2 linked regions of the Neurospora crassa OR74A genome follow. The protein of the gene in region 2 interacts with the protein of the main gene of each other region in a pairwise test. Links are inferred from orthologs where the notes say so. Each region holds a gene or a part of one and is shown on either strand. Other genes may lie near its edges.

What was found.
Region 1: the proteins of NCU01323 (region 2) and NCU04581 interact in binary tests that used the Saccharomyces cerevisiae proteins (3 or more experiments, as listed by UniProt). The link is inferred for Neurospora crassa OR74A from reciprocal best matches to the Saccharomyces cerevisiae genes SMC1 and KAR3.

The regions. Positions count from the first base shown.
Region 1 is NC_026505.1:1,612,523-1,616,591, forward strand, and holds the start of NCU04581 (kinesin), read right to left. Parts: upstream 2,801-4,069; 5' UTR 2,624-2,800; coding exon 2,588-2,623; intron 2,480-2,587; coding exon 2,314-2,479; intron 2,190-2,313; coding exon 2,044-2,189; intron 1,830-2,043; coding exon 1,544-1,829; intron 1,025-1,543; coding exon 899-1,024; intron 849-898; coding exon 1-848. Other genes in the region: NCU04580 (vacuolar protein sorting protein Vps66), read right to left, coding at 3,698-4,069. UniProt on the Saccharomyces cerevisiae protein: Minus end-directed microtubule (MT) motor involved in spindle midzone assembly, poleward transport of newly captured kinetochores along the lateral side of MTs, karyogamy (nuclear fusion) during mating, and with an essential function in meiosis I.
Region 2 is NC_026505.1:3,656,662-3,658,978, reverse strand, and holds the end of NCU01323 (cohesin complex subunit), read left to right. Parts: coding exon 1-1,530; intron 1,531-1,604; coding exon 1,605-1,622; 3' UTR 1,623-1,817; downstream 1,818-2,317. UniProt on the Saccharomyces cerevisiae protein: Involved in chromosome cohesion during cell cycle and in DNA repair. Central component of cohesin complex. The cohesin complex is required for the cohesion of sister chromatids after DNA replication.

The DNA.
Region 1 (4,069 bases), about 2.0 Mb from region 2:
GAGCACCTTGCGGTTGATGTTTCCAAAGCTACTCTTTTCCTCGAGCCCGGTCACTTCAATCTGTGCGGACGACGTTTTGGCGTCGGGGAACATAATCTTGGCCTCGCTGCCTTCGGATTTGCCGAGTGCAGGACGGACTCTGCACATGACCCGGATATTGCCTTTGAGCTCCTGGTACTTGTTGAACAATATCCGCCTCTCCGTCTCCTCCTTGATGAGCTTCTGTTTGGCGTTCTCCGCGATTTCCAGGGCCTCCCGAAGCCGTGCCTCCATCTGTGCAAACGAATCCGACTGTTGCTTGCTATCAGATTCAAGGAAGTCAATCTGCGCCCGAAGTCCTTGGTTCCGGGCTTCCAGTTTCCCATTTGTTGTCGCCATCTCATTGATCTGTTCCTGCAACGCCCTTTTGTTTTTTTGCTCTTGGCTCAGTTCTGACCGCAGATCGTCCAGTTGAGATTGCAGTTGCCGTAGTTCTCGTTCTTTCTCCAAGAGCGATTTGTTGATATCCTGCTGTTCTGCCCCAAGCTTCAGCCGCAAGTCTTGGACCTCCTTTGCCGCCTTTGCCTTTTCACCCTCCAGATCTGCCCGACATTGCCTCTCAAAAGCGTCCTTTTCCTCGCGGTTGATTCGTTGCAGTCGTTCGCTTTCCTGTTTCAACTTTCTCTGTAATTCTTGGACTTCATGTTCATGCTCTCTTGACTTGTTCTGAAGTTGATATTCATGGTCCATCTTCTGTCTTTCCAGTGTGAGGGTCAGTTGTTGGAACTGTTGTCGCAACGCATCCATCTCCTTCTGCAGCAGTTCGTTTCTCTCGTTCAGTTTTTGTCGTTCCGCCTCAAGTGTGTCCACTAGTAGGTGTCAGTCAGCCTGGCGTGTTTGTATACTTGCTGCCACGTACCTTGATTCTTTGCCATCTGAACGGCCGTTTCCATGGCCTTCTTGTCTTGCAAAGATATGCTGAAAGCCTCCTTCATCACCTTCCATTCCGCATCAACCTCGTTGAGCCGCTCGTCGACGTCAATGCCTGTGAATGCGGTGTTATTAGAATCCTTGGTGAGAAAAGAAAGCTTGACAGGTGAAACGGATTTTCGGGTCGAGGCAGTTCTGTGAGCGGAGACGACGGCAGAGTTGAGAATGACCTCGAAACGCTCCATAGCCGCACGGGGGTCTTCCAATCTTGACTTTGCTTTAGGGGTCTCCGGGTACGCCGTTGTCGACTGTTGGAGAGAGGACTTGCGTCGTGCGGGTACGGCTCCTTCGGTTCTTCGTCTGGGTCTTCTAGCAGGCTCCGCCTTAGCATCCGACTAAGACGCTTGGGAGGCGGGCTGCGAAGTCTTTCGAGGCGTCACTTGACTCCCGCTGGGGATGTTCTCCTTCTCATCACAGATCGACAAGTCCTGCAGGCGCCTGCTCAGACCCGAAACAGCCCTTTCCTTCTCTTGCTCTTTACCCGACGTTGAGTATCGTGGTGAAGGAGATCCCCGTGTCTTCTTAGGCTTGACTTTGGGTCCGGGGACGGGTATAGAAGATAGAAATTCCGTACCATTAGGCGGCTGGGTAGGCGCCGGCTGTGAAGGCGCTACGCTAACGTCTCTCGAAGGTCCATGGCCGCTCATCGATGTTGCTGGTCGTGGCTTGGAAATGGATCGCGATCGATTTGTGGGCTGGTTGAAGCTGGGTTGTCGTAATCCTGTTACAGGTGGTCGGCTTGAAGGACCCAAACTCTTTGTGAAGCTGGATGGGTTTGTCGAGGAGTAAGTTGGCCGATGACCAGTCGCCGAGCTTGCGCGCGGGAGCGCCGTTGCCGTCGTTTTGTTCGCATTTCGGGCCTAGAGAGACATCAAGTCAGAACTGACCTAAGCCATATCGACGCGCATAATTGATCCCACAGTGGCCATCCTTCGAAAGCACCGGGAAACGGTGTGTCACGCGACAGTATGGGATTTGTGTTGTGGAAGGTGGCCGGGCTTGTCGTAAAATCAATTTGAAGATGGCAAACAAGACTCAGAATGTATGGTGCTGATGGGCGGAGGTTGGACCTACATTAGCCAACTGAACGATTGATGCGCCGGATATGGTGCCTGTGAGAAAGGCGCTGGTGGGCGTTGGCGCTGGTAAATGGGACTTTGGCTGGATAGGCTCGCCGGCCCTCTCGGCGAGGGTTTTTCGTTTCGCATCAGGCGGGGCGACTGAAGAACATGGCGTGTTAGCCATCGAGGCCATGGACAATGGCATGGACAAAGCCATGATGTATGTGGTGGGTGTTTGATCTAGCTGGTAAACAAGACGAAGCAGGTGGAGGGGATGTCTTACCACCGCTGTCGTTTGCGGCGCGCTTCGTGGGTATGGACGACATTTGCGCTCGCGCGTTGCTCTGGGAGTCGGAGATCTCTTTGAGGCCGGTGGGAGCAGTCGCGGTGGCCGTGGCGGCGTAGGTGGTTGGAAGTCGCAACTTGGTCGAGGCTGGGTTAAGGGCGTTCTACAATTTTCGATAAGCGGGCTGCCCTGCTTCTCCATCTTATCGCAGTAGGGAAATGATGGAACAATCAAGACACAACGAAGTGTTTTAGACAGCTGTGATACGTACCCTGTTCTCGGAGCTCTCCATGGCGAGCGTGCGCATGCGAGGGATGATGTTGTTCACCAGCACACACGAGCCGAGCAGCAACGCCCCAGATGTCGAGGATAGTGATGGCGCCGTTGTGAAAGTCGTTCAGTACCTAGTCATGCGCCTTCAGCGACGGCGTGCCGGCTCCAGAGCGTCGATTGGCGTACAAGCGGCGGTTGAGTGGGACTTCCACTTGCGAGTTGGGCCCGGTCCTGGCCCTGCATCGCTTTGTTTACTTCACCACGGCAACCATTTCTCCCAGCGCTATGTCCAATCGTTCGACCTCGACCAAGCGGGCGAGCGGGGCCCACAGTGTGCAGGTGCCATCTTAGGCCACGGGACGGTACGTACCTGCTTGTTCCTTGCGCTAGACCATTCTCTGCAGCGCCAAGACATCTGCTCTCCTTTCGGTCTTCATTGTCCCGACCTTGCAATGTTTCTTGCACTAAACAGCCACAACCTTTTATCACAGAATCTTCGACAAGTGTCCGATTCTGTTTCAATACTCTGATTGGTTCTAATCCTGCTTCACATAGGTTATTAGGACGGGAAATGTTACAAGCCGATACTCTCATGTTTCGAAGACAATGGTTTTGGACACCACGATGTCCAGACTCAGGTAAAGCTCGCCTATCTCGCTCATGCATCCATCGCGTACCCCGAAAAACAAAGCACTTTGTAGGCCCATATTCCTTTCTTGGGCCAGCATGCAGTGGTTCTTTACATGTTGGTTCAGCGGGCAAGCCAAACAACGCTTTGGACGTTTTGAGATGTTCCCTCACTGGTCGAGAGTCTTGAACGATGACCATATAATCTCGCCAACATCTGCCTACTTCAGGGCAACGCATCTTAGTACTTCTCCTATTCTACCGTCACTGTGATCTGGTGTGTTATATCAGTCATGAATGCTGGAGTATCCTGTGCGCAGTTAAAAGATGACAGCTCCTACGCGCGATTCAATGTCCAACTACACGTCAGAGAGATTTCTATCCCTGACGAGTGAAACCAAATCATCCTCATTAACCTCATTAACCGTTCTCCCAAACCCCTCATATATACCTCAATCCCTTTTCCTCCATCCCACACCATCTACCTCCTCCTCTTCTCCCAAGCCTTCACAAAGTTCTTCTTGTCCTCCACAGTCAACCCAACTCTCTTCGCCCTACCCAACCTCGCCAACGTCTCCGCCACCTTATCCAAAAGCCTCTGCTCCTCGGCCGTCAACTCTCCATCCCCTCCCTCTTGCCTTTCGCGGACATCCACCCCCGAGCTCTCCCCATGTGAAACACCATTGCTAGCCCCTACGGTATTAACCAGCCCCTCGCCAATGCGAATCCTGATACAGTGCGTCGGCCTAGCCAGCAACTTCCACAGAAAGCTCAACCACACCTTCACTCCCCCAGGAACCGGGGTGGTGTCGTCAACGGGGGTATACCGCAAGCTGAGCGGGAAGATCTGCGT
Region 2 (2,317 bases):
GAAGGTGAACTGGCCGCCTTTGAGAAGAACCTCAAGAGCAAACAGAAAGAGCTCGATCATCAGGAGCGGCAGCTGGACGACTACGAGCCCAAGTATGAGGAAAAGCACGGCGAGCTGGAGCGGACGCGGGCAACGGTACAGAAGTTCGAAAAAGCCATCTCAGACGTCGAGGATAAGATCTTTAAAGATTTCTGCAAGAGACTGGGCTACGAGAACGTCCGTGCCTACGAAGCCCAGCAGGGCACTTTGGAACAAGAAGCTGCCCAGAAGCGGCAAGACTTTGATATCCAAAAACAACGCATCCAGAGCAACATCACATGGGAAATGTCACAGCACACGGCGACCAGCGACAGGATAGCCTCACTAGAACGGACCCTACAACGGCATGAACGAGATCTCGATACATATCGACAAGAGAAAGCATCGATCGAAGAGGAACTGGCGGAAGACCGGGAGGCGCTCGAGGAGCTTGAGCAGAGTCTAGAAGAGCTCAAGGTCTCCCACGCAGAAAAGACCAAGAAGGTCCAGGAGGCCAAGCAAGACCTACAGAGGAGGAGCAGAGACATAGAAGTCAGGTTGAAGGAGATCAGCAATCTGGAGGCTACAGTTCAGCAGAGTAGTGCTCAAAAGCTTGCCCTGCTCAGGAGATGCAAGCTTGAGCAGATCCAAATTCCTCTTCAACAAGGCTCTCTTGACGACATTCCAAACGAGGACATGTTACTCCAGAAGGACCAGGATGCCATGGATGTTGATGGCGAGGATGAAGACCAGGAAGCCGAGCTTCTCGAAGCTGCCATGGACGACTACGGTGTCGAAATCAATTACGACAACCTCGATGACGCACTACTTCAAGACCCGAACGACGAAGTCGAAGAGAAGCTGCAAGAAAAGATCTCGGCCCTCACCGCCGAGATCGAGAAGCTCAACCCCAACATGCGCGCCATCGAGCGTCTCGAGTCGGTCAAGTCGCGCCTTGAGTCCACAGAAAAGGACTTTGAGGACTCGCGCGCCGCCCTCAAGGCGGCACGGGATGCCTTCAACCAGGTCAAGGACAAGCGGTTCGAGCTCTTCAACAAGGCCTTTACGCACATTCAGGAGCAGATCACGCACGTGTACAAGGACCTCACACGCTCAGACGCCTATCCGCTCGGTGGGCAGGCGTACCTGGATATCGAGGAGGACACGGACACCCCCTACCTGTCGGGCATCAAGTACCACGCCATGCCGCCGCTCAAGCGGTTCCGCGACATGGAGCACCTGTCGGGCGGTGAGAAAACCATGGCGGCGCTGGCGCTGCTGTTTGCGATCCACAGTTACCAGCCGTCGCCCTTTTTCGTGCTGGACGAGGTGGACGCGGCGCTGGATAATGCCAATGTGGAGAAGATCAAGAAGTACATCCGCGAGCATGCGGGTCCTGGAATGCAATTTATCGTCATCAGTCTCAAGGCTGGGTTGTTTCAGGATAGCGAGAGCTTGGTGGGCGTTTATCGCGATCAGGACGTGAATAGCTCCAAGACTTTGACGTTGGACGTGAGTTTCTCCCCCCCCTTCTTGTTGTTGCTAACCATTTGAGGATCGTATACTAACATGGAATATCACTACAGCTTCGCAAGTACAACTAAGTAGTCATTGGTAGTGGAGGGCTCCGTGTAATGCCATGTTATGTGTGTGAACTGGGTGAAACCACTTCGGGCGGGCGGGCGGGCAGTGTAAACAAATCGATCGGAAGGAGTTCAAAGGAAGGTACCATCAATCAAGTATACTTAAAGGGTAGCTCAACTGCATAATGGTTTCAAGTATAGATGTGCTTTCTCGCGCTTTTAGTCTGTTCCTTTCAATGACCCCCCTTTGCCTCCCATCCTCATTTCGTGGTATCTTTCTGCTTGTGTTCATCAGGTATGTGCTGCATTCGTTCGTCTATGTACAAATTCGTTGTGCTCAAGGGATAGAAGCAAAGCAATGACGGGTCCTTCTGTCTCCAAAGTGGGAGCTTCAAACCTCGAGTTCCACTTCCTTCTCTATATAATTTATGAAGTTTTCCTTTCGTGTGAAGGAAGTAACCATGCCCACTCGGTAGATTTCCCCCCCCCCCCCCCCCCCTACCCCAATTCCCGGATGCTTCAGATCTCTAATGTTTAAAGGAGCAGTAGCTGTTCCCACGTGTTTCTCATATCCCTCTTTGACGCATGCTTGGTTGCTTTTTTTTTGGCTGTGCGTATCATACCCAATCTTATCTGCCGTAAAACCAGTCTGTGGTAGTTTGTGGTTCCGTGCGGTGATTTAAACGTCCAAGGACCGCATGAGGCGACTCTATGGC